4 linked regions of the Notamacropus eugenii genome follow. The main gene of each other region encodes a partner of the protein of the gene in region 2 in a complex. Links are inferred from orthologs where the notes say so. Each region holds a gene or a part of one and is shown on either strand. Other genes may lie near its edges.

Evidence for each region.
Region 1: SNRPB (region 2) and USP39 share a complex: the UniProt entries of both Homo sapiens proteins name them as parts of the U4/U6-U5 tri-snRNP complex. The link is inferred for Notamacropus eugenii from reciprocal best matches to the Homo sapiens genes SNRPB and USP39.
Region 3: SNRPB (region 2) and RBM48 share a complex: the UniProt entries of both Homo sapiens proteins name them as parts of the minor spliceosome. The link is inferred for Notamacropus eugenii from reciprocal best matches to the Homo sapiens genes SNRPB and RBM48.
Region 4: SNRPB (region 2) and LSM2 share a complex: the UniProt entries of both Homo sapiens proteins name them as parts of the U4/U6-U5 tri-snRNP complex. The link is inferred for Notamacropus eugenii from reciprocal best matches to the Homo sapiens genes SNRPB and LSM2.

The regions. Positions count from the first base shown.
Region 1 is NC_092872.1:726,461,840-726,469,242, reverse strand, and holds the start of USP39 (ubiquitin carboxyl-terminal hydrolase 39), read left to right. Parts: upstream 1-4,398; 5' UTR 4,399-4,880; coding exon 4,881-5,328; intron 5,329-7,403. Other genes in the region: C1H2orf68 (UPF0561 protein C2orf68 homolog), read right to left, coding at 1,292-1,455, 2,070-2,176.
Region 2 is NC_092872.1:476,068,888-476,076,717, reverse strand, and holds the start of SNRPB (small nuclear ribonucleoprotein-associated proteins B and B'), read right to left. Parts: upstream 3,010-7,830; 5' UTR 2,854-3,009; coding exon 2,851-2,853; intron 1,235-2,850; coding exon 1,083-1,234; intron 1-1,082. Other genes in the region: small nuclear ribonucleoprotein-associated protein N, read right to left, coding at 7,694-7,731. UniProt on the Homo sapiens protein: Plays a role in pre-mRNA splicing as a core component of the spliceosomal U1, U2, U4 and U5 small nuclear ribonucleoproteins (snRNPs), the building blocks of the spliceosome.
Region 3 is NC_092874.1:47,883,662-47,891,204, forward strand, and holds the start of RBM48 (RNA-binding protein 48), read right to left. Parts: upstream 3,003-7,543; 5' UTR 2,963-3,002; coding exon 2,828-2,962; intron 1-2,827. Other genes in the region: peroxisomal ATPase PEX1, read left to right, coding at 3,490-3,621. UniProt on the Homo sapiens protein: As a component of the minor spliceosome, involved in the splicing of U12-type introns in pre-mRNAs.
Region 4 is NC_092873.1:85,494,385-85,502,387, forward strand, and holds the start of LSM2 (U6 snRNA-associated Sm-like protein LSm2), read right to left. Parts: upstream 3,004-8,003; 5' UTR 2,699-3,003; coding exon 2,696-2,698; intron 1,582-2,695; coding exon 1,514-1,581; intron 1-1,513. UniProt on the Homo sapiens protein: Plays a role in pre-mRNA splicing as component of the U4/U6-U5 tri-snRNP complex that is involved in spliceosome assembly, and as component of the precatalytic spliceosome (spliceosome B complex).

The sequences.
Region 1 (7,403 bases), about 250 Mb from region 2:
CATCTCCCCTTGCCCCCCATGACAGCCCCAAGGTAGGGCAGGTCACCACTTGATTGGACCAGCTGGTGACTGCTGTCCCCAAGAAGCCTGGGAGGGACAAGTACAGGGATGGGGGAATATGGGTGACTGTCATTAATCCAATGAGTGGCGTTGCACCAGACCCTCCCTTTTCCTCTCTGGGCCTCAGTATCCTCCTGTGTAACAACAGTGGCAGAATTTATGTAGCACTGTAAGGTTTGCAATGCAATCCATACATATTCTCTCACCTTGCAAAAGCCCTGTTCCATACTTATGATATCCTCTTTTGACAGATGAAGAAACTAAGGCCCAGAGGTATTGATATAGTCAATAATTGTTAGAGCAAATGCCAGGCTTTGATTTAAAACCAGGTCCTGGCTTATGGTTGAGAAAATAGTTTCTTCACCGGTCAATAAGGAAGCTGCCTGGTAGGGAAGAATGCACCGGTTTTGAGGTCAGAGGTCTTGGGTTCAAATCATGCTCATGAGTTGTGTGGCCTTGGACAAGTCACCCTTCTTTGGCCTGCTTTCTTATTTATATGTAAAATAAGCAGGCTTTCTAGTAGATCTGAGGTCTTTTCCATTTCTAGATCTAGGATCCTATTAAATTATGGTAATAATAATAAACATTAATAGCCCTTTTGAAGTGCACCATTATCTCATTTTATCCTCACAACAACTCTGGGAGGTAAGAGCTGTTTTTATCCCATTTTACAGATGAGCAAACTAAGGCTAAGTGACTTGCTCAGGGTCACACACCTGGTAAGTGTGGAAGGCAGGATTCAAATTCCAGTCTTCCTGCCTCAGAAATCCGATGGTCTCATCCCATCATTTTACAGATGAAGAAACTGAGACCCGAAGACATTCAGTAACCTATTCAATCAAGGTCATGGAACTAGTAAATGACAGACAGAATTGGAAGCCAGGTCTTCCTGATGCCAGGTCCAATTTCCCAGCTTCTCACTCCCCAGTTGTGAAACCCTGTGAATAACTGAACCTTTTGCACCATCTGGAAAAGGAGGGGGCTGAACGTCATGGCGTCTTCCACATGTGGTGCTCAGGGCTCCCACTACCTACAGCAATTCCCCCTCCCTCTTTTTTGTAGGGTCACCCAGTTATTAAGTGACACCAGCAAGCCCTGGAGCCCAGGTCTTCCTGACTGTAGCCCAATGTTCTATCGGCTTCGAGGCCCCCAAAGATGCCAGGACCTGCCCAGCCACACACAGCTAGTTAGAGGCTCCTGGGGCGTAGACCCCTCTCGCTAACTCTCTCACCCCGGCTCCCAGTGGAGGACCCAGGCCGGCTCAGCCTTGCCTCGCCTCGCCGTCTGGGTAAGTACACCTGCTGGTCTGGCTTTCGGGGCCTCGTAGGGCCCGGGGTGAGTCGCCTCCGAACCTTCTCCTTGGCTGCCTGCTTCATCTTCTTGTCGTAATTATCTCTGCGGGTGGGACGGAGAGGGATTATGGGGAGAGGTCAGGGATCAGAGCGACCCCAATGAAGGAGGCCTCTGGGGAGGGGGTGGGGGGTTAGGGGTTAGGAGAAGGAGAGGCAGAGACTAGAGGGCTGGATCTAGGAGTAGGGGATGGGGAAGGGGCCTGAGGGCAGAGACTAGGAAGGGGTGCGGGGTTCCAGGGGAGAAGGCGAGGGACAAGGGACAGGAACCCAGGGGCTGGAAACCTGGAAGGGACCGGGGGAGAGGGGTCTAGAGTAGGACAGAAGGCAGGGACCTAGGCTTTTAAAGGTTTGGGGCAGAGGGAGGGGGTGGGGGAGGGACCAGGGGGCTTAAGTGGGGGGAACAGGGTTAGGGACCCGGAGGTAGCTGGAAGGTGGGTAGGGGGCAGGAGGAACTGGGTCAGGAGGACAGAGGGCGGGGACCCCGGTGGAGGGGGCGGGGAACGGGCCAAAAGGCTCAGACTAGTTCAGAAGGCAGGGGCCCTGGGTACAGGGGCTGGGGGGGAGGGAGGATCTGGGGCTGGGAACCGGGGGCAGCGAAGGGCGGGTGGGGGCGCGGGGAGAGCCCGAGGCAGGGTCCGGGCCCTGGCCGGGCCGCACCGGGCGATCTGGTTCCGCCGGATGTGGTGCACAAAGCCGTGGCTCATGTCCAGTCGCCCCCCCGGTTTGCAGCAGCAGCGCCGGCCCGGACCCGGCTCCGCTTCCATTGGGGCGCTCCGGGAGCTCCGGGGGGGGGAAAAAGCCAACGCCGCCCCCGCCGCCAGAGCAACCGTCACTCGCGGAGGCCTTCCCCTCCCCCGGCCCCCTGCCCGCCCGCCAGCTCCCCGACTGGCCCCGCCCCTCTCCGTCCCCATTGGCCGCTTTTCTCCCCACCTCCCCCGCGGTCCCAGGGCTGGCCCCGCCCCCGTGCGAGGCGGGGGCTAGTGCTCTCTTCCTTCGCCAGTCTCTTCTGTTTACTTTGTGTACACTTTGTAAATACTTTGTATTTACCCGCCTCTGTGTGCGTCCCTATTCTCCCCACCTAGTATAAAGGATTGAGGGAATGAAGGAATGTTATTCAGCACTTTCCACTGTGCGAAGCGAGGGAACTGCAGATGGAAGACAGACAGTTTCTGATCGCTAGCAAATCCAAGGAGTCCATCAACGAGAATTCTTCAAGTGCTCTGGGTTTGCCAGACACTCCATTAAAAGTTTGAGATAAGAAAGGCAATAAACGTCCCCTGCCCTCAAGGAGCTCTTGAGGGAGAGACAACGGGCAAACAACTATGTATGTAAGTACAGGATCTTAGGGGTCAGGCAGCTGCAGTATTGCTGACAAGGCCCAATAGAACTGTAAGTTTCTTGAGTCAGATATTGCCCTCTTCCCCCATCACCAGGGTATCCCGAGCTCCTTAACTTGACCTTTGCCCCAACCCCACTTCTGTCCTCAGCACAGACTCCTCTTTGCCAGTCTAGGGCTTGGAGATGGAAGAGAGACAGAATCTCAACATCCATTCTAACTCCCTCAATTCAATTTACCTTAACAAGGCACAACTTAAGAGACAGACACAAAGAAAACAGGCCTGCTTTCAAGGACCTTACCCACTCATTTTATAGGTGAGGAAATTAAGGCCCAGTCAATCAATTAATCAACAAACATCATCCAGTGCCTACTATATGCCAGATCATGCATGTCACCCCTATCCCCTCTCACTAAACTCCAGCAGCTTCCTATTTGCCTCCAGGAGAAAAAATGGTCTATTTGGCATTCACCTCCCCAACATCTACTCTTCCATACAGTGATGATGCCTTTCAGGCTGTTCTATGAACAATCCTCCATCTCAGTTTCCACCATTTGCTCTGACTCTCCCTTATGTATGAAAAACTTTTCCTTTCTCTGCTCTAACCTTCCTGACTTCCTTTAAGTCTCCACTAAAATCTTACATTCTACAGGAAGCTTTTCTTGACTCTTCTTGATTCCAGAGTTTTCCCTCTGTTAATTATTTCCCATTTATCATGTGTATAGCTTGCTTTGTATATATTTTTATGTTGTCTGCTTCAGTAAAAAGCTTGAGGGGAGGGGCTGTCTTTTGTCTCTTTTTATATCCCTAGTGCTTACTTAGCACAGTGCCTGGCACTTAGTAGGCATTTAAGAAATGTTCTTTGAATTGAATCAAATAATTCCTTTGGGGACTACCCAGCTTTGAAATAACTTACTGTCTAAGAGTTGGGAGTGATTTTTTCAACCCAACAAAAGTTATTTCCTATGAGTCCTCATCTCCTTTTATACAATGGTCCAAAGACCCTATGATCTTTTTTAATTGATTAAGGACTATTCATATGGGGACAGTGGATAGAGTACCCAGCCTGAAGTCAGGAAGACTCATCTTCCTGAGTTCAAATCTGGCCTCAAACGCTTACTAGCTGTGTAACCTTTGGTAAATCACTTTATCCTGTTTACCTCAGTTTCCTCATTTGTTAAATGAGCTGGAGAAGGAAATGACAGACTATTCCAGTGTCTTTGCTAAGAAAACTCCAAATGGGGTCACAAAGAGTTAGACATGACTGAAAGATGACTGAACAACCAAAATTCCTATATCTTTTACTTTTGATACGATGAAGCCTTCAGACTGTCCTGTGACTAATTTTGGTGGGGTAGGCTGGACTCCTACCCATATATATTGATCATAGCTCTAGAGATGGAAAAGACCTTGGACCTCTAGTCCAATTTTCCACATGGATAAACTGAGGCCCAGAGAAATGTGAGTGACTTGCTCCTGGTCACACAAACAGTAAATGTCAGAACCAGGATTTTAGTTAAGGGCCAAAGACTCCAAGGTCAAGGCCCAAGTCAATCACAAAGAACTGGATTGTTGTAGACACTCATTCTTTTGGTGGGAACTATGATTTCACTGGTGTAGGGAACTAACTTCTTGACAATCAGTCTTTTTTTTTTTTTTTTTTGGTTTCTGTTTTCATGTCATATGCTTAATTTTCTCATTTTCCAAATGAATACCTTTATTTGTCAATCAGTCTGTTGACTTTTTTTTCCCATACTTAAAGTACTATTTGTCATACGGGATGGCTCTCAGGGAGGGGAGGGGCTGTTAAAATAGTGATGTTAGAAAGAGAAAACATAAATCAAAATTATTTTTAAAAAATTGGGCAATGGGATGTTTTCGCTGCCTCCATCGCAGCCTTTGAGGGACAGGACAGCATCATTCCATTATGCCTCATCAACCTAAGTAAAAATTTCTCCAGTCCTATGATGTTACCCCAGCATCTTGGGCCACTTAAGGGCTATCTGGCCCTTTAAATAAGAAACTGTGGATGATGAAGATGATTGGCCCATTCAGCGTCCGGAGCGGTGGGGCGGGAACCAATGAGAGCATCCAAGAGTCACACACGGAAGCCTGGGAAGCAGGTTTGTAGATGCGGGCCACAGCGCTAGAACCCTCGAACAGACGTTGCAGCGGATTGGCCAGAAGCGCTGCGGCTGATTGGCCAGCTGTGCTGCGCAGGCGCGGCACCGCGAGTGAGACCTCTGCGCCTGCGCGGAGAGGCGGCGGGGGCCGGTGGCCGGAGGGGATGTCTAGCCGTTCGAAAAGGGAGACGCGGAGCTCCGCCCGGGGCAAGCGGGATGCGGAGTCCCGGAGCAGCTCCAGTCGGTCGAAACGGGAGAGGGAGCGGGATTCGGACGGCATGGGGTCTCGGGGGAGCCCGGTGCGCGTGAAACGGGAACGGAACTCGGAGCCCGCGGCGCGAGACTCCTCGGGCGGGAGCGTGCCCGCGCTCGTGCCCGCGCCGCCGCTAGTGGGTTCGCGCGTAAAGCGGGAGCGCGAGGCCGACGAGGACTCGGAGCCGGAGCGGGAGGTGCGAGGTGCGCGGGGCCGGGACCGGGGCGTCCCCCATCCCCATCTCCATCCCCATCTCCATCCCCATCTTGCCAGCCCGGAGCTGGAAAGAGCCTCTGAGGACGGCCATCCTTTCCCCTTTTTTGTCCAGATGGGGAAACTGAGGGCCAGCAAGTGCTTGCTCCCTGCCCGGTTCTCGGGGTGGGGAAACTGCCCTGCCCGGCTACGTCATTACCCGCTAACCACGTGCAATTTAAATCCAGAGGGATGTCAGGGAGGAGAGGAAGGTCCTGGTCAGGTGGCGCAGTCCAAAGGGGCCTCGGATAGTGTCCGCTTGAACGGAACCTTGACCAAAGTTGGGGTGACATCCTGCCCGTCTCAGCGCCGGGGCTTGGGTGCAGCCCACCCTAAGCCTTCCCTGTGTTCTCTGCCTTCAGCCACATATTCCCTCCAGGGTTCTGGCCCCCGTGCCTTCCTGTCTTTGCTAGTGATCGATTTTCGACAGTTTTACTTTTTCCTTACTTGTTTGTGTACATGGGAGAGGAGGAACGCTAGACTTGAAGTCGGGAAGCTCAGGTCCCTCTGATCCTGGCCCTGGGGGACTGTGGGCTAGTCTCTTAATGTAGGCTCTCTTAGAGAACGTATATTAGAGCTAGATGGATGTTGGGAATTTCGACGCCAAAAAAAGTTGTGTCCTGCAGCAAAATGTAAGCTCCCTCTGAGGATAAGGGACTCTTCTATTTTTGTGTGCTCAGCGTTGAATACATTGCATTGTAACTAAAGGCGTGTTAAAAAAAATTACCTTTTCTTTTGTCCTTAAAAACCATCATAGATCATAGGTCAAGCGGGGATCTCAGAGGCCTGTCCAGTTTACTCTCATTTATAGAAGGGGAAACTGAGGATCAGGGAGGTTGAGTGACTTGGAATATGATATACAGGTAGTAAACCTCATAGATAGGACTTGACTCCAGATCTTCTGATTCCAGAACCAGAGTTCTCTCCACTTTTATAGCATTATCTAATGTGATCTTTTTTTACTTTTCACTCTTAGTATTATTATCGTCACTTTAATTCAGCTCAAGCAACAAACATTTATTAAACACTTACTATGTGCCAGGCACAGTATTGTGTTCTGGGGGTCAATGACAGAAATAAAAGTCCTTGCTTTCAGGTAGCGTATATTCTTTTGAGGAGATTTAACATATAAGGAAAAAAAGTGTGTGTAAATCATTTAAAGGTTTGCAGAAAGTAGTGTACAAACGTTAATTTGTTTGACACAACAGTCCCATGACGAAACAATCAGGTGCTATTATTTCATTTTACAGATGAGGAAACTGAGGCTGAGAGGTTAAATGACCTGCCCAGGGTCACTGTTAGGGTCTGAATTAGGATTTGAACTTGGCTCCCAGGCTTGACAGGTCCCTCGTGCCACCTCGCTTCCTAGATTAGATACTCTTAAGGGTGGGGATGGATGAAGAGTACATCTATATAAGAAAGGGTGTGACGAGGGCCAAGGAAGCATTTAGATAGAATGCTATAAGAAATTTGTGGAGAGAAGACCTTCTAGTTGGGAGGATAGGGAAGTCTGTAATAAACAGAGGCCACCAGAGCTGGGCTCGTAAGAACATTTTTTCAACAGGAGAAGGTAATATGTTCTAGTTCGGATGGATCGTAAAGGAAGTAGAATGAAATAAAATTGATCAGGTTAAAGTAAGTTGGAGTAAGATTCTGGACAGCCTTATATTAGAAGCTAAGAATTGGATTTTATCCAATAGGCCCTGAGGAACCAGTAAAAAATTTTGATGGAGGCAGCATATTGTAGCTGGGGCACTGGATTTAGAGTCAGAGAGATCTGAATTCAGATCCTGGTGCAGACATACGAGCTATGTGACCCAGCACAAGTCACTGATGCACTTTGAGGCTTCACTTTCCTTATCTGTAAGATGAAGGGATTGGACCTAATTGCTTCCAAGGGTCCTTCCAGTTCTTACTGTGCCCTGTGGGTGACTTGTGCAGGAGGAAGATGGTTTAGCAGTTCTGTGGAGGATGGATGGTAGAGGTCAGAGGCCTGTGCCCTGGCCCAGTTCAAATGCCATTAGAT
Region 2 (7,830 bases):
CCTAAGTCCTCATCCTAGATTCTCTCCACTCAAGCCAGACACACACAAAAAAACACAGACCTAAAAGAAACAAAAGGTCATTAATAGGTTGAATGAAGGAAGGAAAATGGGAGCTCTACTCTTGGAAGCAAGAGACCTGGGTTCTAGTCATTCCCACCCAACCACTACCATTTAACAAACTAATGGCCATAGGTAAGGCATTTATCCTCTCTGGGTTGCCTGATCTGTATAATGGAAATAACTTAGCTGTCTTAGGGTAGGCAGTACCTAAACCAGATCATCTTGAAGTCCTTCTAGCTTTAAGACACAAGATTCTTACTGAAAAACTGGCATAGTGAATAACTTGAAAACACAAGGGGCAGCATTTAGCCATTGTCTCTCACTACTTCTTTTTTTGCAGATGACAAATCAGAAGGGAGCCTGGTATAATGGGAAAAACATTGGATGCAGGAGTCACAGAATTGGGGTTTGAATATCTGCTCTGCTACTACTCTAAGATTTTGGGCGAGTCACTTAGCACTGTTGGATTGCAGTTTTCTCTTCTATAAAATAAGGGGTCGCAGTAAATGATGCTGAAAGTCTCTTCCAACTCTTATTCTAAATCACTAGCCCCAAACACTAACCCAAGTGGTGAAGCCAGGCACTTACCCTGAAGAGAGTCAGGGGCTCCTGAAAGCTGCTTCAGAGCAGGCTGTATTGGGTGGGAATGCCGTTTAGGCTGCAGCCTTACAGAGAGGCAATGAGGACAGAAAAGCAAGTTCTCCCCCTTAAAAACCTGTGGGGAGAACACGAGAGCCCTTTACCCCAAGGGGGCAAACAAAGAAAAACAGAAACACAGCTCTCAAGCCAAGGGGTTCCAAGCACAACTGAACTCCTGGGGAAGGCAGCATTCAGAGGGCACTGGGGAAACTCAGCTGGATTTTCTTCAAAAAAAGGACACAACCACACAGACACAAGAAACACATCTAGGCCACAGCCAGACAGGGGACAGCTAAACTATACCACCTGCTACTTGGGTCCCTCCCCACAATATTCTGCTGGGTGAACTGGGTTGCTCCCCTCCCACCAGGGCTCCTCCTCACTTGATTTTCCTGAACTCATCACAGTCACACAGGATCAGGTTCATGTGCTTGTCAAAGGCCTTGAAGGTGCCGATGAAAATGCGACCATCCTGCAGGATGCACCTCATCCTGTAGTCGATGTGCTGCAGCATCTTGCTGCTCTTGCCCACCGTCTGTGGGAAGCAAGAAAAAAGTGGCTAAGATACTAAAATCGGAATGCCTCCTTGACTCTACTTCTCTCTCAGTTACACTCCCAGAGGAAGACTAGCATAAAGGGAAGCAAACAAGGTTGGAGTCAGGGGACCTAGGTTCTAGACCTGACCTTGGATAAATCACTTCCCCACTCCAAACCTCAGATTCCTGCTCAGTAAAGTGGTTTACATGAAATTAGCTATAATGTTCTTTATAGTTCTTGCATTCTTTGTTCTAAGATTCCCCCAGACAACATTCTGATTCCTGAAACAGCCTTCTATCACCTCCATTTTTTAACAATGGATTTCTTCATTCTCCTTCCCTCCAGACCAAAAATAGAGGACTGGATGCTTGTGTTGTTTTCATACATAATCCAGTTATCTCATCTGACCTTCCCAAGAGTATAAAGACGTAACCAGTGCAAAGATATCTACCTCCATTTTACAGAAAAGGAAACTGAGGCTCAGTTGAATAGGTTAAGAGACTTGTCCAAGATAACACAGTAAGTTGGTGATGGAACTAGAACTGAAACCCAAATCATCTGACTGACAAACCCAATATCTCGGCTACCTGAGGGATACGTTAGCAACATTCAGCACACTAATTGGTATATAGTGCCCACTCAACAAATATTATTTTAAATGCATGAGAGAGGATAAGATGGATATAACAGAATGTAATTACACTGGGAAAGTAGGATTCAAATAGTGTTACGGGAAAAGAACTGATTTAGAGTCAGAAGATCTGGGCTCCTATTCTGAATCAGGTCTCACTCGCTGTATTTGACCTTAAGGTTGAGTTAGTGAGGCCTAGAAGCTAAGGGACAGTAGGTCCAAAATTGGGGGCCAGGATTTTTCTCGGGTGTAAAACGACAGAGATGCAGTAAATGGTAAAAAGGTTTAATTCTGACAAACCCCACCCCTTACACTCCCCATTCTTAACCCTCAGGCCCCCTTGGCTCTAATTCCTCTTCCAACCCATCCCCCTCCAGACCCCATCTAGTCCTCCAGCCCACCTCCCAGTGAGTCCTAAAAACCTCCCCACCTTTAACCTTTCCCAGGTTCCAGGACCTCCCACCTTAATCCCTCCGTCTCCCAGCACTCCCCCAGCCATCTTTCCCAAGGTCCCCATCCTGGCCCTGCCACCACTCCGCTCTCAGTGCCAACTATGAATGGCACTCAGAACCGTGACACACAATCACACACCCCGCCCCGAACCCGGCCTTCCTTCTGAACCCCCTCCTCAGAACCCCAGCCTCGAATGCTCTCCCCTCCCCCCTCCCAATCCGGGCCTCGTGCTCTCTCCCCTCCCCCTCCTCAGAACCCCAGCTTCCCAAGCCCTCCTCTCCCCCTCCCAATCCGGGCCTCGCGTTCTCTACCCTCCCCCTCCTCAGAACCCCAGCTTCGCAAGCCCTCCCCTCCCCCCTCCCAATCCGGGCCTCGCGTTCTCTCCCCTCCCCCCCCTCAGAATCCCGGCCTCCCGCGCCCTCCTCCCCAAACCTGGGCCCCAGCCCCCTGACTCGGCGGTCGACTGGCTGCGCCCCCCACTCGGGGCCATTCCCAGGACCACCCCAGATGGCTGCCCGGCCCTCCCTCACCATGGTGGCGGCTGAGATGGCCCCGGTTCGCGTCGGATTCGCCTCCGCCGGGCCTACAAACCGACGAAAACTCCAGTTCCCGCGCCCGCGGCCGGAAATGAGCCCTTGGCAAAAACGGTCCGGCTAGGGGAACTTCCGGCTGGGTGAACTTCCGGCTCCGCCTCCCGGCTTACGAGGCCCGTGTTCTTCATGTTCCGTCCCTATAGTTTTCCCCGGCACACTAGTTAGAACAGCTCGAATGAATGAAGCACTCCGCTGTTTATGAAACGCACTCAACAAGCGCCGATGTTATTGTGCGCCCTTTACGACTTATAAACTGAAGCTCAGATAGGTGAGGACTGGCCCAGAATCATGTAACTAGTGACCATCAGTTCTAATCATCATCACGAACCGGCACTTACGTAGCGCTTTAGTTTGCGACATGCCTGTCATTGTACACACAGGCAGCTCCGGGAGGCTGGGGAAACTGAGTCCAGCGAAGCTGAGCGACTGGCCCAGGGTCACGCAGCGGGAAAACGAACCAGAGCCGGAGTCGCTCTGACGCCAGGTCCGGCTGCCCAGGGTGGTCACCCCCCCACGTGTGCAGCTCAGACACCCGGAGGGCCTTGGCAGCTTCCTGCGGCCAGCTTCCACAACCGCCACGCTGTGGGAGAGGGGCCGGACGTGCCCGCCGTCTGCCACGAACGGAGGACAAAACCAGCCCGCCCGAAGCCGGGGCCATGCTCAGAGCAAGTCCGAGCACCGCCCAAGACCCCAGTGCGCCTCAGGATTGACAGCCTGCCCCCCACTCTACCCAGCCCGGCCCCCCAGGAAGCCACCCTTGTGGAGCTGCCAGTGGTCTGGCCTGTTCAAATGCCAAAAGGACGTTGACCTAAAGGACTATTTTTTCTATTTTTAAAAAAATTTTAAAGTTTTGACTTTTTTTTTTTTTTTTTACAAATTCTATCCCTCCTCCTTTCTCCTCCCCATTCCCTGAAACAGTAAGCACTCAGATTAAGGTCATATATATGCAATTATGTAAAACATATCCATATTAATCATTTTGTACAAGAAGACTCAAATAAAAGGAAAAAAATGAAAGTGAAAAAATAGCCTGCTCAAGTCTGTATTCAATCACTATCAGTTCCTTCTCTGGAGGTGGACACTGTTTCACTCTTCGGAATTGTCTTGGATCCCTGTATTGCTGAGAATGGCTGAATCGTTCACAATTCTTCATGGCACAGCGTTGCTGTTATCGGGTATCACCGGCTCCTGATTCTTTACTTCACTTTGCTGTGCATCACTTCATTTAGGTTTCTCTAAAATTATCCTGCTTGTCCTTTCTTATAGCACAATAATATTCCACTACAATCACATACCACAGCTTGTTAAGCCATTCCCCAATTGATGGGCATCCATCCCTTTGATTTCCAGGTCTTAGCCACCACTAAGAGAGCTGCTATAAATATTTTTGTACAAATAGGTCTTTTTCTTAAGAGACTATTTTATGGAGAACTCACATAAAGCAAGCTCTTACATGGAGGTCAGGAGGAACAAGGACACTCTCAAGGTCCCTCTGAAAAACTTTGGTTTTTGTTTGTTTGTCCTTTGTTGCCAAAGATGACCATGCCATCAGAGAAATGATGACATGACTTGCACTTGACTTTGTTTTGAATGAGGGAGGGCTGTGCAGGTCACCAGCCTCACTTCTCCTCCAGAGCCATCTGAATCCAGTGACAGATATTCATCAGGATGACTGGAGATGACCCAGGATGCACTGGGGGACCTTGGGCCTTTGATCTAAACTTTGGTATCAATTGTGAGAAAGAAGAGATACAGGTACAGGACTGCCTAGCATGAAGTGCCTGCATCAAAGAAGGCACTGTCTCTCTATAAGAAAAGCAGAATCTCAGTAGCATAAAGAAAACATGAGATGCATAAATCCAGAGACATCTCCATTCCAAATGTTCAAATGCACCATTTGTGCCAGATCTGTGGTTGAGCCTTCCGAGCTCAAATTGGTCTGATCAGTCACTGTCAGACACACTGTACCTTGACCTCAACACAGTGAGGTCATTTTGGTCCTCCTCAAAAACAAAGGACAATTACCTACAACCTTCCCTATATGTCATCTCCTCCTTTAGAATATGAGCTCCTAGAAAGCAGATAATGAATGCCTCATTGGTCTCCCCAACACTTTTTCATTCATCCTACTTCATTAACTTGCTAATTCAATTAACAATTATTTGTTAAGCAGCTATCCTTTGCATAGTTTGTCAGGTTATGGATGGAGATAAAAAGATAATTAAGACAAGGCCTTGTCCTAGAGTTTACGATCTAATGGTAATAAATACAACTTAAAATAAAAGACTGTTAGCTAAAAGGGACTTTAGGGATCAGCAAGCCCAATTCTCATTTTATATCAACTCTAACCTAACAGCTAGTTCTAGAGTTAGGTCAGTAACTATTGCTAAGTACTGGTCTAGAAATGAGACTTGGCATCTACTCTCAGCACTACAACTAACCCTCTATGTGATCTGGGACCTTCAGTTTCCTCATCTATAATTAGATTACATTAGATGACTTCAAAGATCTCTTCCAGAGCCTTACAGGGCTATGCAGATAATAGGGTCTTAAACAGTTGTTGAAAATGATGAGTCAAGAAATGGAAGAGAAAACTTGGGCTCCTATATACTAGTTCTGGAACTTATTAGGAAGCAAGCCTGGTCAAAGCACTTTACCTTTTAAGTTTTTTCCAGCTCTGACTTTGTATGTTCTATAGTCTAAAAGTCTCTTCAAATTCAAATATCCTGATTCTACCATTTAGTTTTCCTCCCTAACAGATGAGAACAAGCCACTGGTGAGAGGTAAAAATGGTAAATGAGAGTTAAAAGAGGAATGGATATGAAACATCACCTAGGAAACACTGCAAAGGTGAGCGGAAGGGCTTCAAGGGTATTGGGTATCTGAGAAGAAAAGTAAAGAGGAGATTGTCAAAGATAAACTTCCCCTATTGTAATGTTATCAAGAGCCACCAGAGTGATAGGAATTATTTGAGTCTGCCCTTTAAAAATAAAGGTACTTCAACTACAGCACAAAGAGCTTTCTTTTCTTCACAAAAGCTATTCCTGAGACTTTCTTTAACATCCCATTCAATCAGGTCTCCTCAGTGGTCTCCATTCACACTGTTTGAATTCCTCCTTTTCTCTCCTCACTATCCCTTTGTTCGTTCATATGGGCAATTTAGCACAAGGACAGTTATATAATGGCTTTGATGAAAAATATGTATGTCCCACTTTGGATGAAGACAGAGTAGTTGAGTTAGAAAACAAAATGAAAGAAGGTGGAGTTATTGATTACCATGGCTGTGACTTCTTCCCTCAATCATGGTTTCATAATAGTTTTTGTGCTTCAAACAGATAATTCTGTATTTTATACAAGACTTGAAAAGAGGGGATACAGTGTAAAGAAACTACAGGACAAGTTGCGGCATATAAATGTAATGGAATACTATTGTGTTGTAAGAAATGCTGAGCAGGCAGACTTCAGAAACACCTGGACTCATATGAACGGATGACGAGGGGGGCAGAACCAGAATATAATGCACAGTTCCAGCCACATTGTGCAGTGACTAACTTCGACAGACAGCTCTTCTCAGCAAGGTTCCAAGACAACCCCAAAAGGCTCAGGACAGAGAATGCCATCCACATCCAGAGAAAGAACTATAGAGTCTGAACGCAGATCAAAGCATGCTGTTTGCTCTCTTTTTTGTTTTGCTTCTTCTTTCTCATGGTTCATTCTGCTGGTTAGAATTCTTCTTTAAAACATGACTAATGTGAAAACATATTTAACATGCATGTATATGAGAGCCTATATCACACTGCATGCTGTCTTAGGAAGGGAGGAGGCAAGGATAGGGGAGAAAATTTAAAACTCAAAAGCTTGTGGAACTGAATGTTGTAAACTGAAAATTTTAAAAAAAGAAATAACAGGACAATATTTAGTAAAATTTTCCAAATTCTTTATGAAGAAGCCATGGCCTCCCACAACCATGAAGTAGTACACTGGCTGCCTAGCAATGTACCAGGAGAACTAGAGAATAATTTAGATCAGATAATGAAATGGATTGAGCAGATAATAACTGAACCTTGAGGGCAAAGCATGAACTTTCGAGGTTTTTCACATGATGATTGAAGATTTTCTTGATGATTACTCCTTCCCCATGCAGAAGAAATTAAAGACAACATACACCGAATTCCATTATCCAGGATTGTGTTATAGAAGTAGCAGGTGGACAATATATGAAGTTGAGCTATGACTAATTTTTTTTCTCCATGAGAAAACTAAAAACTCCCAAATACAATGAATAAGATAATGACTTTTTAAGTTAAGGAATATTCAGCATTCTCATTTATTTTGGTTAACTGCTAAAGAATAAGCAAATTTGAGAAAATAGGAGAAAAAGAAAATGAAGGCTTAGAAGAACTTCTGACTTAAAAGAGTCAAGGATAAAGCTATAAAAAACTAATAGGGAAAAGCAGGGAACTGAATCCATGGTTATCACAATGGAGGGAAGCATCTGAAGTCATCCAGATGAATAAAAAAGGAACAAAGGTAACTCAGATGTAAGAACTACTTCCTCTAGGACAGCCCACGTAACAGCCAGGGTGGTCTTAAGGGGTTTAAATTCTGCACTCCCTCCCAATGCTTCCAACAGGCACAGAAAATACCCAACAATAACTGCAGGTTTTTTTGCCCAAGAGTTTATTATGAATCAATTTAAAAGGAGCACACTTTATACAAAAAGCCCACAAAACTATATACAGCCTCATCTCAGAGGCAGCATCACAGCAGTTGAGGAATCCTAAGGTCTTGGTGGGCGCATTCCTGGGGGAGGGGGACCTATAAGGGAAATAAAGGAGTCCCATGAGATAGACACAACAATTTACATTTTTAAAATCCTTTAAAGTTTACAAAGTATTTTCATCACAACAGCTCTAA
Region 3 (7,543 bases), on a different chromosome or scaffold from region 2:
CTGTAGGTTTTTCTTTAAAGTAAAATTTTGTTGATATATTTTGCTTGTATAACACCTACAATTTCCCATGTATCCCTTCTTTTTCTTCCTTGGGAGCAATCCCAAATAATACAGAATAAAAAGAGTTTGGCAAAATTAACCACCATTTGAAAAAGTAGGGCACTATACGTACTGTTCCACACTGACCTCTACAAAGAATGGTATGTTCTCTCTTCTTTGGGGTTAAGTTTGGTCATTATAATTTTGCAATATTTAGTTTAAGGGATGTACTTTCCATTAATTAGTGTTGCAGTCCATTGATATGCCTTCCTGGTCCTGCTTGCTTCACTCTACCTCCGTTCACATCTTCCCATTCCTCTCTGTAGTCATTCACGTTTTGCAGCATAGTAACAGTCCATTTGTGCAGCACAATTTGTCTGCCTATTCCCCAATCGATGACAGCTCTACTTTGTTTCTAGTAATCTGAGATTTTCAACATACTAATGGACTATGGATCTTTTGGCATAGTAGAAGGGGAAGTTTCTCCCCAGAGCCCTGCTTATCTTTATACACCTGTTCTTCACACATCTCCTTGAGCAGACTGACCTGGACTGTTTAGAAAGCAGGGAGAGGATCTGAGCATCTGAAAAGTGTTGCTGTGAAGAAAAAGACTAATAATGCTCTCTTCTCATCTGTGCTTCCTAACTTCAAGTCGCAGCTAAAATTTCACCTCCTACAGGAAGCCTTTCTCCATCCTTAATTCTAGTCCTCCCTCTGAGATATCTCCAATTTATCCTGTAGGTTTGTTTGTACACATTTGTTTGTATGTTGTCACTGCCATTAGATTGTGAAGTCCCTGAAAACATCCCCTAACTTAGCAAAGTACCTGGCACACAGCAGTAGGCTTTGTGTAAATGTTTAGTGACTGTGGCTGGACAACTGTGTGAAAGTATTTAAAGAGCTGTCATGTAAAAGGATTATATTTGTTCTGTTTGGCCTAAGGGAGAAAAAGCAGAATCAATGGGTGGGAGCTGCAAAAGTAGGTTTGATGCTTCCTAACAAGTAGAGCGGCTTGCCCAGGTGGATGGGGGTCTTCAGGACAAAAGTTAAATGACCCCAGGTGGGTGGGTGTGTTATAGTGGGGATGCCTTCCTGGAGAGGGTGGATTGGATGGTGTGTGTGTGTGTGTGTGTGTGGTGTGTGTGTGTGGTATGTGTGTGTGTACGGTGTGTGTGTGGTGTGTGTGTATTTGGTGTGTGTGGTGTGTGTATGGTGTGTGTGTGGTGTGTGTGTGTGATGTGTGTGTATGGTGTGTGTGTATGGTGTGTGTGTGTGTGGTGTGTGTGTATGGTGTGTGTGTGTATGGTGTGTGCGTGTGTGTATGGTGTGTGCGTGTGTGTATGGTGTGTGTGTGTGTATGGTGTGTGTGTGTGTATGGTGTGTGTGTGTGTATGGTGTGTGTGTGTGTGTGTGTATGGTGTGTGTGTGTATGGTGTGTGTGTGTATGGTGTGTGTGTGTGTGTATGGTGTGTGTGTGTACGGGGTGTGTGTGTGTGTGTATGGTGTGTGTGTGTATGGTGTGTGTGTGTATGGTGTGTGTGTGTGTATGGTGTGTGTGGTGTGTGTGTATTTGGTGTGTGTGGTGTGTGTGTATTTGGTGTGTGTGGTGTGTGTATGGTGTGTGTGTGTGGTGTGTGTGTGTGATGTGTGTGTATGGTGTGTGTGTATGGTGTGTGTGTGTGTGGTGTGTGTGTATGGTGTGTGTATGGTGTGTGTGTGTATGGTGTGTGTGTGTGTGTGTGTGTGTATGGTGTGTGTGTGTGTATGGTGTGTGTGTACGGTGTGTGTGTGTGTGTGTATGGTGTGTGTGTGTATGGTGTGTGTGTGTGTGTGTGTGTGTGGTGTGTGTGTGTACGGGGTGTGTGTGTGTGTATATGGTGTGTGTGTGTGTACGGGGTGTGTGTGTGTGTGTGTATGGTGTGTGTGTGTATGGTGTGTGTGTGTGTATGGTGTGTGTGTGTATGGTGTGTGTGTGTGTATGGTGTGTGTGTGGTGTGTGTGTATTTGGTGTGTGTGGTGTGTGTATGGTGTGTGTGTGTGGTGTGTGTGTGTGATGTGTGTGTATGGTGTGTGTGTATGGTGTGTGTGTGTGTGGTGTGTGTGTATGGTGTGTGTATGGTGTGTGTGTGTATGGTGTGTGTGTGTATGGTGTGTGTGTGTGTGTGTATGGTGTGTGTGTGTATGGTGTGTGTGTGTGTGTGGTGTGTGTGTACGGTGTGTGTGTGTGTGTGTGTACGGTGTGTGTGTGTGGTGTGCGTGTGTGTACGGTGTGTGTGTGTGTGTGTGTGTGTGTACGGTGTGTGTGTGTGTGTGTGTGTGGTGTGTGTGTGTACGGTGTGTGTGTGTGTGTACGGTGTGTGTGTGTGTACGGTGTGTGTGTGTGTACGGTGTGTGTGTGTACGGTGTGTGTGTGTGTACGGTGTGTGTGTGTGTGTGTGTGTGGTGTGTGTGTGTACGGTGTGTGTGTGTGTGTACGGTGTGTGTGTGTGTACGGTGTGTGTGTGTGTACGGTGTGTGTGTGTGTACGGTGTGTGTGTGTGTACGGTGTGTGTGTGTGGTGTGTGTGTGGTGTGTGTGTGTGTGTACGGTGTGTGTGTGAGGGAGCGGACAAGGACGCAGGGAGGGAAGGAGCGGGATGGGGGCAGAGCCGGTTCTGAATCCAGACTCAGACACTTGTAGCCGCGGGACTCGGTCTCCTCATCCACAAAACGGGAATGACAGCGCTGTCGCCTGCCCTCCCCTCTCCAGGCTGCGCTGATGACAGAACCGTCCAGTCAACTGACCCTACCAACTTAGGGAGGTTCGGCGGGGCTTGATCTCTCTGAGCTCGAATCCCGGCCGGCGACTGCGGCCCGACCGGACTCGTCCCTCTTCCACGGCCCGGGCACCGTAGCCGAACACAGCAGCTCCGCGGTCCGCCCATCTAGCCACTACCTAAGCCTCACCGGGCGCTCCTGGCCAGAGGAAGCCGGGGTGCCCGGGGGTTTCTCTCTCACCTTAACGGCGCGGGGCCTCCGCCCCTCCCGATACTTGGCCCGCGAGTCACAAACAGCCCGCTGCGCATGGTGAGGGTAATAGCCACCCAGCTCCCCTCCGCCGTCCGCCATCCTTTCCCACTAGGCCTTCCTTCCAAGTTAACCGCTTCCGCCTGACCCCTATCCCTCTCATCCAATCAGAGAGTCAGGCAGGCAGCGACGTCCTAGGATTGGCTCGAGTACGGATGGCGCTCGTTGACGCTTCCGGAGGGGATGGAGAAAGCGAGAAGGCGCCGTCTTGTGGCGGCGCGGTAACGAGGCTCGGTAGTCCCGCCCCTCGCGACGCTAGGGCGAGTAGGCTGCCGGGGGTGGTGGTTGTCGATCGATCCTCTCGGCGCTCGACGCCTCCTGCCTGGCGCGGATCGGTGCTCTGCCCCGTCAGTCTCTGGCTCTCTGGCTCACTCGCTCGCTCGCGATGTGGGGCGGTGGCCGTCTCGAGGGCGCCGGGGCTGGAGGGGTCGTGGCCGTCACCATCGCCTTCTCTCACGCCCGGGACTGCTTCCTCCACTTGCCGCGGGCGCTCGTGGCCCAGCTGCACCTCCAGCAGGTAACGCGCTCAGGAGGCCTCCAAGTTGCGCCCCCTCCCCCCCGCCGCGAGGCCTGCCGGGAAGGGCCCCCGAGGCCGGGCTGCTCGGCCTGAGCCACTGGAGCCTCCTGGAGCCGCGAAATTAGGTCTAGAAATGACCTGGGTTCAAATGCTGCCTGTGGCGGTGATCGCGGCCGTGGGCCTGCCCTTTCGGACCGCTCTTCGTGGTCTCCTGCCCACCGCCCGGGTGACGGGCCCGGCCCGCAGCCGCGGTGCTCTCAGCCGCGGGATGAGGCGCAAGGTCACTGCCAGACCCCTCGAGGGCCCTCCCCGGGCGGTGCAGCCGCCCCTTTCCTCGGAGTCCTCGCCCTTGGGGACTCAGGGTTACCCGGGGTGCCGTGCCCATGTCCCCGGGTCCAGAGGCAGCCAAGGCACGGGGTCGCGCTATTGCGGCGAACCTGCTGGAGTGTAACTTGAGGCTTTGTCTCGGCTGGCCCCCTTTCCCTCCTTCGGTCTAGACCCGCCGAGTCACTCCCCGGTGGTGTTATTATTATCTCTGTTTACATGCGAGGAAACCGAAGCCGACAGATGAAATCACTCGTCCGGGGTCGGGGCTCAGCCCAGGCTGCGGCACCACCTGGTTAGTGCTGACCCAGGCAGGGCTTCCCGAACCTTGGAAACATAGGTTTGGGTAACTGTTTCAGTGTAAATGGCTTCCTTTGTGATCTTGTGTGAATTATGTATTTAAAAGTCCTCTGTTTAATATGTTATCTTTATCATTTCTGACTCCATTGGGGGTTTTCTTGGCAACTGTACTGAAGTGGTTTGCTATTTCCTTCTTTTCAGCTCATTTAGCAAATGAGGAAACGGAGGCAAATAGTGTTAAGTGACTTCCCCGGGGTCAGCTAGTTAAGTATCTGAGGCCACATTTGAATCCCTGAAGATGAGTCTTTCCACCTAGCTGCCCTTACATATTTTTTAAATCCTATATTTAATATCAATTTATATTCATATATTCGTAATGAATTTGCATTCATATTGTAATACATAAATTCACATTTGTGTATTATAATGTATAAATTTATAATCTATTTAGTACTGATTGTGCTCCCAAATAATTTCATGAAGTAGGAAGCCTTCACTTTAATCATCCTCTTTAAGTTAATTACTGCTATTCCTGACTTTATGTTAATCATTTGACAAAACATGTATCAATGTTGATTGAATAAAAACCCTACCAGGCACATCTCAAAGCTTCCATTTGAAAAATGATAATACTGATGTAAGTTTTGATGTAAGGAAAACCTCTCAAAATTAGTTACCCCATTGGCTTGTGTAGGGAAATAGTGGATTCTCTTTCATGATAATTCTTCGATAAACCACTTATTGAGGATATTGTAGAGAGGATTTCTGTCTAGGTCTGGGTTGGACTAAGTGTATTCTGTAGCTTCTTCTAACTTTCAAATTCTGTGATTTTTGTCATTTAGACACCTGAAAACTGTGCTGTGAAGAAGCAAATTCGCTGTGCTCCTTAGGACAGGTGGGAGGATTGACTTAGGAATCTGTTAAGGTTCCTTCTGGCTAGGAATTAGGGTGGAAGTGGTGAATTAGATTAAGATAAAAAGGAAAAAACCCACAAATCTAGAGCTATCCTATGTGAGGCCTTAGCATTCAGCAAATTCATTCAGTTGAGTCTGCACATTTGAATGCTGCTTATTTATAATGAACCACTGTGAAAGATATAAAAATGAAGATAACAGTTTTTGCCCTCAAATGGCCTGTAGCAGGGATTCTGAAACTTTTTAGTCTCGGAACCTCTTTATAGTCTTAAAAAATACTGAGGACCCTTCCCTAAGAGCTTTTATTCATGTGGGTTATATCTATGTTTGGCATATCAGAAACTAAAACATCAGTATTATTATGAAAATAGTTTTAACCTCATAGGTTAATAAACTTAGTTTTTTTTAATTGGTTTTGGAGACTCTTATGTCCTAGACCCACACTTTGAGAACCACTGGTCTGTTGTATGAGCCAGGACTAATAGATTGTAAGCTTTTTGGAAGTAGTCTTTGAGTCATATTCAGGATATTCCAAAAATCTTAGTTCAGTTTTAAGCTTCAGTAACTTAAAGTTTTTAATCTTTCATAGCTTAAATCTGCATTAAGATTCTAAATCTTCACACAAGAAGGAAAAATATCAGGAAAGTTCTGCAGCTAGTGTGTTTGATTTATTCTGTACTTATTTTTTACATATGATTTTTTTTCAAAAATATACATTGAATAGCATTGAGAAAGAACTTTTACAATTTGTTGAATGCCATACTTTAGAACAGAAAATAAATCTGGAAAAGGAAAAAAAAAAAAAAGATTCTAAATCTTCATTAAGACTTTTGGGTCAGTGCTCTCTGTGTCTTCGTTTCCTTACCACATTGCCTTCAAATTCTGTTTTCATAGATTTCCAATCAGAATAGTTAGGAACCGTTACTAGAGGCAGTTTGAGGGCAAGGACTTCAATATTCATCTTGGTGTCTTTCACAGTGCCAAAAAGTGTTGAATTTCATGAGTCTACTGATGTAGAAGAAAAAACCCCCTACTCCCCAAAGAAAAACAACATTCTGTGATTATAGGAAGTATACTGGAGAAGATTGCCACTGTCACCAAATTTCAAGTACAGAGCTCCCCTTGCATTTTACCAAAGGGAGTGTGCAACATAATCATGCTGTTAGGATCACAACTCAGCAGGAATAGGACCAGCAGCCTCCCTTTGGGTTCTCACAGATGCTAGTAGTCTGTTGTAGTAGTAGTAGAGGTTGCTGGTGCTGGTGACATTTTTCCTGTCTGTAAGCTTCTAGTAGTGGCGTCCGTCCGTGATGCAGGTAAAGGCAGCATGGAACAATGTGAAGAGCACTTGTTTATTTAGCTGGAGCACCTGGGTTCAGTCTTGCCTCGGCCTCTTAATGCCTGTGTGACTTTAATAGCTTAGACTTAGGTGATGCAATGGATAGAGTGCTAGGCTCAGTCAGGAAGGCCTCAGTTCAGCTGTGGTCTTAGACACATTATATTTAGGGATCTCCAGAAGTCACAGTCCACATAGTCAGTAAGCATATGTTAAAAACTATGTGCCAGGCACTGCGCTGATGCTGGATATACAAAAACCCATGCCTTCAGGGAGCTCACATTCTAAGGGAGACAATATGGAGCTGGAAGTGAAGAGGAGATGGCATTTTGGGGATGGGGTACAATGTTGAAAGCATATAATTAGAAGATGAAATAGTCAGGCTAGTGTCACTGGATCATAGATTCTGTAGAGGCCAGTAAAGTGTAAGAAGATTGGAAGACTAGGAAAGAACTTGATTGTGAAGGATTTTAAAGCCAAACAGCAGAGTTTATATTTGATCATGAAAGTAGGGGGTAAGCTTCTGGAATTTCTTGAGTGTGCGTATGCGTGGAGGGTGCTGGAGAGTGGGGAGGTCTGTGGTAATATGATCTATTCTGCACGTTATGTAAATCACTTCAGCAAATGAGTGTAGGATGAACTAGAGTGGGGAGAGACTGGAGCCAGGGAGACCAGCCAGAAGGCAATTGCTACAGCACAGGTGGGAGGTAATGAAGATCTACATCAGAGTGGTGCCTGTAAGAGTGGAGAAAAGGGGACATAAAAGAAAAGCATTGCATAAGAAGAAATGATAAGACTTGGTAATAGTTTGGAGAAGTTCCTTTCTATAATGGACTTTTACTTTTTCTTGAAGTTTGGGTTCATCATTCCACTTAAAGATAATGACCATGGACCTGGTCATTTGAGCCTCTGCAGAGAAACCCCTAATAAGGAAAGGGGGAAAATGAGAGTAAGCCAACTTTGAAAAGCACAACTTTCGAAGTTTGTTTCACATTCTGAAATTCTCTCCTTCAATGGATTTCCTTGCATCAATGCTATTATAGCTTAC
Region 4 (8,003 bases), on a different chromosome or scaffold from region 2:
TTTGCCTAGGACTCACTTTGTCCTTTATATAAGCCTTACTCTACAACTCTGGATTCCATGCTACTAAAATTTGTCCTCAATAGCAAAAATGTCAAGTCAATGAATTCTCATCCATATGACCAATCCATCAGCAAACATGTATATTAAATGCTTACAATGTGCTAGGCAGCATGCTAAGTGCTAGAGATAAAAACAGCCCCTATTTATTCTTAAGAAGCTTACATTCTAGTAAGGGAGACAATGTGGAAATACACAAGTATATGGAAGATACAAAGTATATGGAAGGTACTCTTAGAGGGGAAGGCTCTGGCAGTTGGGAAGGATCAGGAAAGGCCTCCTCCAAAGATGGGATGTGCTTGAGCTCCTGAAGGAAGCCAGAACTGGACATGAGAACATTCAGGGAATGCTGGACTGCCAGTACAAAGGCACCCAGAGAGGAGATTCTGGAGTGAAGAAGATCCAGTAGGTCAGAATGGCTAGACCGTAGAGTTGTTGGAAAGAGATAATATTTAGGAAGACTAGAGAGGTAGGAAGGGACCAGGTTACAAAGAGCTTTAAATGCTAAAGAAAGAATTTTATACATGATCCTGCAGATAACAGAAAGCCACTGGAGTTAATTAGGGGGAAGTGGCAGGGGGTACCACAGAATTATATGATTAGACCTGCACTTCAGGAATATAATTTTTGGTAGCTGTGTGAAGGATGGATTGGAGTGGGGAGTGACTTGGGAAAAGTCAAGAAGCAGACTAGAATGGTTAACTTGTAAAATTCACAATGTGTAGGAAGAGGCTAGGTGGTAAAGAATTTTAAATGTCAAACAAAGGACTTTATACAGGATTCTGGAGTTAACAGGAAGCCTTTGGAGTTTGGGGAAGGAGGGGTATGACATGGTCAGACCTATACTTTAAGCAAATCACTTTGGTAGTTGTGTGGGAAGATGGATTGGAGTGATAAGAGACCTGAGACAGAGAGATTAATTAGAATGCTACTGAAATAGTTCAGGCAAGAAGCAATGAGTGCCTAATCAAGTTTAAACTCTTCACCAGTCAGACCTGACTGGCTGTCTCCTGAAAACACTGTGCTCATTAGCCCTCTGCTCAGTGTTTCACCTGGAAATCTCTTGTCCATTTCTATCTCAATTCTATGATCTCCATGCCTATCCAAGTTCTATCCGTCTCTCAAGGTCCAGCTAATATATTGACCTTTCTCTTCCCTGAATTCCTTTAAAACATATTTAATATACCACATCATCTAGTATCTGGTAACATATTGTTTGGTACTGTATTCTTGAATTTCTCCCCTTTGCAAGACTTATATTCCCATTCTGACCGTAAAGCTTAAAAGCAGAAATATGTCATGTACTCTTGTATGCTGCACCCAGTGCCTATTGCAGAGTGTAAGTTACACAACATTAATTAAGAAGCCTTTTTTCAAAAGACCTCTGTGGAAATTCAGCAAAGTTGCCTTCCTCAGCTCTGCAGGAAGACTCCTCGGTTGCTCCTGTGCACATTACCTCAAGTCATTCTTGAGTTCCACAACCACATCCTTTCCCACAAGTGACTTGAAGAAGGAGTAGAAGAGCTGAGAGAAAGGAAAAGGGGGGAAAAAATCATGAAATGGGGCAGAGGTGCACTGATCACCCATTTTCTATTCCTTTTATTGATGAATTCTTTTCAAAACGGCCATTTGGGGGAAGAGCCCAGATGGTCATCCCACATTTTCTGGAGCACGATGCTGTTTGCTTTCCTCCATCCTCTCTCCTTCAGTCCTCCTTTCACGTGTAGTTCCATGATTAAAAAGCAAGCTTTTTGCTTACATTTTCATCTGTGATTAGCACAGTACCTGGCACATCGTAAGCACTTAATACAAGCCAGTTACTAGCTCTGTTAACTTGGCCAAATCAACCCCAATGACCACACCTGTAAGATAAAAATCTCTAAGGTCCGTTCCAGCTGCAGAATTCTATATCCTGTGGTTCTAACAGTTCCTTTCCAGTACATCATCCTTTGTCCTCTCTCCACCTCCTCCCCAATCAGGAGTATTACCCTCTCCTTAAGACTCAAGGACCACCACCATTTAATGGCAATAATGGGCTGCAGATTTCTCAATTGTCCATTACACAATGTCCCCAAAGTCTCATTGCTATTTCGGACTAAAACTTTGGGACATCCTGTACTGTTACTTGTTGAGGAGAGGGGTACCTAAAGCGCCGGGGATGAGTTAGGTGGCCCATGTGGACAGAAGGGCAGACTCGGAGTCAGGAAGAACCGAGTTCAAATTCTGCCAGCTGTGTGACCATCAAGTCTGTGCCTCATTTTCCTCACTGGCACCCACCAAATTGGTTAACCGACGGAAAGCACTATCTGTACACGTTCGCTATCACTTCAACATCCACAATTCAGGTCCCAAGGGAGCTTTGAAAGAGCAGAAAGGGTTAACCCTTTAATTCTAAACGAGGCATAAACTGAGGCCCGGAGAGGGGGGAGGCGAAGCGCCCGAGGTTCGCCCGAGGGGGGGAGGGGGCGAGGGCTGGGGCTCGAATCCTGGGCTCTCCGAACCGCCCGACCCCGCACCCTTCCCAGTTTCCGGGGAAGGGGGAGTCCCTCCCCCCTACCCTCCCGTCCCCGCGCCTCCGAACCGAGTCAACGGTCTCTTCGGGAAGCGGTACCCCCGCCTATGACGTCACAGCCCCTACCATGGTCCTCGCACCGCGGCTCGGGTCCGGGAGAGGAGGTGGGGCGGCTTAGCTGGGGTTGCGGGGGAGTGTGGGCCGCCGATCTTTGCCACCCGAGTCCGAGCCCAAGGCCGGCGCGCGCGGGCGCGGGGGGCGGGTGGGTGCGCACGTGCGGCGGCGGGCGGAAGGCGCGAGCGGGTTAGGAAGAGACACCAGCCTCAGCTCCCCCAGCTGCAGCCTGAGAAGGGGAAAAGCTCGGAACCTTAGGGTTGAGACTTGGAGGCTGGCCGGAGCTTATAGCCTGCTACCCAGTTCCAGAGTCTCACTGCGCAGGCGTTGTTTTGGGCTCGGGGGTTGGGGTGGCTGAGGTCAACTTGGTTAATGACATATTCAAGGATTGTCCTGTGCAGTGGAGATAGAACGACGCGAGACAAAATTACTATGTAGCGAGTGATATGGGAAGAAAATCATTTACTAAGATACATTCTGGGATCTTTCCACCACAACTGGGTGACCTTCCTGTAATAATTCGTGTTTAAAAAAATAATCGCCAAGGTTCTGTCTTGGAGCTTCTTGTCCCTCCATACTATTTACCTTATTGATCACATCAGTTCCTGTGGATTCAATTATCATCTTTATGCTGATGATTCTTAGACCTACTTATCCAGCCCTAACCTCTTTCCTGACCTCCAGTTTCTCATCTCCACCGTCAACTGGACAACTCAAAATAAACGTCAAATTTATTTTTTTAAACGATGTCCTTTTTTTTAAAAAAAAAAATCACAATAATTTCCCCCAGTATACCTTCTTCTCTTTTTCTTAGAGGGTCATTTCATATAACAAATATTTTTTCTTTCTTAATAGTACTTTTTTCAACTATATGTAGTTTTCAACATTTTATAAGATTTTGAGTTCCAAGTGTTTTCCCCTCCTTCCTGTCTCTCCCCTTTCCCCAAGAAAGCAAGCAATCTGATATAGGTTATACATGTACGATCATGTTAAGCGTATTTCCATATTAGTCATGTTGTAAAAGAAGAATCAACAAAAGGGGAAAACCATGGGAAAGAAAAAATAAAAAACGAAGTGAAAATAGTATGCTTTGATCTGTGACTCCATAGGCCCTTCTCTGGATGTGGTTAGCATTTTCCATCACAAGTCTTTTGGAAATATCTTGGATTATTGTTATTGCTGAAAAGAGCTAAATCAATCATAGCTGATCATCTTACAGTGTTGCTATTACAATGTTCTCCTGGTTCTGCTCACTTCACTCAGCATTTGTTCATATAGGTCTTTCCAGATTTTTTTGAAATCATCCTGCTCATCATTTCCTATAGCACAATAGTATTCCATTACATTCATATACCACAACTTGTTCAGCCATTCCCCAATTGATGAGCATCCCCTCAATTTCCAATTCTTTGCCATCACAAAAAAGCTGCTATAAATATTTTCATACATGGAACTCCTTTTCCATTTTTAAAGATCTCTTTGAGATACAGCCATATAAGTCGTATTACTGGATCAAAGGGTATGCAGAATTTGATTGCCCTTTGGGTATAGTTTGAATTGCTCTCTAGGATGGTTGGATCAGTTCACAACTTCACCAACAATGCAACAATTTTGTTGGACACATCTTGTCCAACATGTATCATTTTCCTTTTCTGTCATATTAACTAATCTGATAGGTGTGAAGTGGTACCTCAGAATTGTTTTAATTTGCATTTCTCTAATTAATAGTGATTTAGAGCATTTTTTTATATGTCTATAGATAGCTTTAATTTATTCCTTTGAAAACTGCCTGTTCATATCCTTTGACAATTTAGCAACTGGGAAATGACTTGTGCTTTTATAAATTTGACTCAGTTTTCTATATATTTGAGAAATGAGGCCTTTATCAGAAACACATGGAATTGATTTCACAGGACAGCTGGGATATCTATGAGTCCTATAGGAGAAAAGTGGTTGTTGTACTAATATTCTGTCTTTATTGGTCCCCAACCAACATGACCCTATATTTAAACCTTTAAACTAGCCAATAATTCTTCCTTCTCCAGCCCCCACACTTCATAATCAGTATGCTGGGACAGTATTGTAGGACTGTTCTACATGTCCTTAGCTCTTCTTAGTCTTTGCCTTCTCAAGCTTTCATATGTCACAGACATATGTACACTAAGACCCATTTATAGTTGTACTTTCCATGTCACACATATTTAGCCAAGCACATAATATACTGATAGTCATTTTATTAGTGGGACTCAGGCTTTTTGGGTTTTTTTTTTTGCATGTACTGTAATAAAGACAGATTGAACCGAACTGTCTTCAGTTTCCCCATTTGTGACCAACTGCCAGTGGTTCTCTATAGAAATTCCTCTCTTCAAATAAATGATATACTCTTCCTAGTCCCAGTGAGCAGTTCTGAGTCTATCAGCAACTTGTGGGCCCACAGCTTCTCCTCTGATAAAGACCAAGTTAAAAAGCCATAACAAAAGCATAATCTTCTACTACTGGTACCCCAATTGCTAAGGTCCTCTCTCCCCAAACTTTCTTGTATTTAACTTGTTTGCATGTATTTGTATTTATTAACTTTGGTTTTGTCATATTTATATATAGATTTGCTCCCCCCCCCCATTAAAATGTATGCTCTTAGAAGTAGGAACAACATATTTTTAATTCTTGGATTTAGTACAGTGCCTGGCACATAGTAGGTACTTGATGTGAAACCCCCAAAATTGTGTGCTGAAGCCTGTTTTTCCTCTATTTATTTTGGTTGTGCAACTTTGCTTCCTAAATCCATGAGAAAGTCAATCATCATCCCATGATGAAATTAGAACTCTTCAAAAACAAAGGATAATATAATATTGGTGATCACATCAGCTCCTGTGAATGCAATTATCATCTCAATGCTGATGATTCCTAGATCTATTTATCCATTTATCCTGAGCTCCAGTTTCTCATCTTCAACTGTCTATTGGACATCTCAAAATAGATGTCCAGTAGACATCTTAAACTCAAAATCATGTTCAAAATGAAATTCATTATCTTCCTTCCCTTGCCCTCAAGTCCTCCACTCTTCCTCATTCTGTTTTACTGGTGAGGACGCCATCACCTTCCCAGTTAGCCAGACTCACGACTTAGGTATCATCCTTGATTCCTCATTCTCTCAACCTCCATATCCAATTTGTTGACAGGTCCTGTCAATTTTATCTTTATAACCTCACTTGTATATGCCCCCTTCTTCTTTTACCTTGCCACCATTCTAGGCCAGATCCTTTTCAGTTCATACCTGGATTATTATGATAGCCTGCTGGATGGTCTTCCTGACTTGTCTCTCCCTACTCCATTCATTTGTCAAATTGATCTTTCTGAACAACAGGCCTGACCCTGTTATGCTTCTACCCCATTCCCATCCAAGAAACTTCAGTGGCTCCCTATCACCTCCACCTATCACCTTTGATTCTCAAAGTCCTTCATTACCTGGCCTCCATCCTATTTTTCCAGTCTTCTTACACCTTCCTTATCTCTTCTTACTATTCAATCTAGTGACACTGACCTCCTTGCTCTTCCTTGAACAAGAGAATCCCTATTGCTAGTATGCCTCTAGTCTCATTTTGGCTTTGTTTGAGTCCCAGCTAAATCCCACCTTCTACAGAACTTTGGCTCCCTTAATGCTAGTGCCTCTCCTCTGATAATATAACAAATTTATCTCGTACACAGTTGTTTGTATGTTGTCTCCCCCATTAAAATATAAGCTAGCAGAGGGAGGTGTCTGGATTTTTGTTTTTATGATGCCTTTCTTAATATTCCCATTATTTAGCACGGTGTTGGGTCCATATTGGGTGCTGAATAAATGTTATTGCCACTGGACATGGAGCAAACCAAGAGGTACAACTCCCCACTGTTACTGAGTCTTAAGGAAGGAAAAGAGTCAAAAAACAAAATTGAAAAGGGCGCATATTTTAGTCATTGAGTATACTTTATTTGAATGCTTGGAGGTAGAAGATGATATGTCAAGTTTGGAGAGCAAGTTAGTAATCCAATTTTGCAATAACAGAGGGGAACTAATGTGAAATAAGGGCTGGGAAGCTAGAATGGAGTCAGCTTGTAGGGAATCTTAAATGAAGCAGTTTGCATTTTATCCTCAAGGCAATAGAGTATCACTGAAGGTTTCTGAGAAGGGGAGTGTCACAACCAGATTTTTGCTTTTTTTTTTTTTTTTAATTATTGTAAGACAGAAGGGACCGAAATTAAGAAGACTACTTAAGAGGCTGTTACAACAACACAGGTGAGAGGTGATAAGGACTTGAACTAAGGTTGTAGCTGTAGGAGAGTATGTAAGTATGAGAATGTGAATTCCAGAAATAGAGTGGACATGACTTGGTAACTTAATTAGATATGGAGAGTAAGGAAGAGTGAAGACTCTAGAATGACTGCAGGGTTTCCAGCCTGAGAGGCTAGAAGTATTATACAGCAGTTCAACTGAAACAGGAAAGTTTAGAGGACACTTGAGTTGGGGAGTAGCTGGTGGTAAGGGATGAATTCTTTTTTGAACACACTGAATATGCGAGATGCTGGGGGCATATTTGGATATATAGATTCCACAAGGTGTTGGCAGAGTGGAGTTCTAGCAAAAGATTTGGACTGGGTTTACAGACTGGGAATTATCAGTTTAGAAATAATAAGTAAATTCGTAGAAGCAAATGAAATCTCCAAAAGAGTACATGCAGAGAGAAAAGAGAAAAGGAGGCCTAGGACAGTCTTGGGAAACTTTGATTAGAGAGCATAAAATGGAGGATAATCCACCAAAGGAGACAGAAGGAATGGTCAGAGAAGGGAAACAGGAAAGTCACAGAAATATTTAGAAGTAGGTAGTCAATAACAAGCAGTAAAAACTGCAGAGAGGTCAAGAAGGATGAAAACTAAAAAAATTGGATTTAAATTTTGGCTTCATTAGTCCTGTGACCTTATTTAACCACCCTCAGCAATCAGGCACAGAACATACATTCATAGCAATTTTTCTCATGACAACCAGGTATCCCACTTAGACCCCCTAAATATCACACATCATTTCCTTTAAGCATGAATTTATTGAGTGATAAACTACTCAACCTCCCTGGATGGAAGTGAAAAATCCAGGGCTAGATTAAAAATAAACAGAAATTCAAATTCACCTAACTAGTCCAACAAAGGCCTTGCTATTCTAAGAGTATTGTTCCAGTGTCACAGGATTGTGAGATTTGGAAATGGAAAAGTAATCACCAAAATCCTTCTAGGATGGTCAAGGACAATTGAGATACAAGTAAAGTGAATTGGAAAGGCATAACTGGTACTG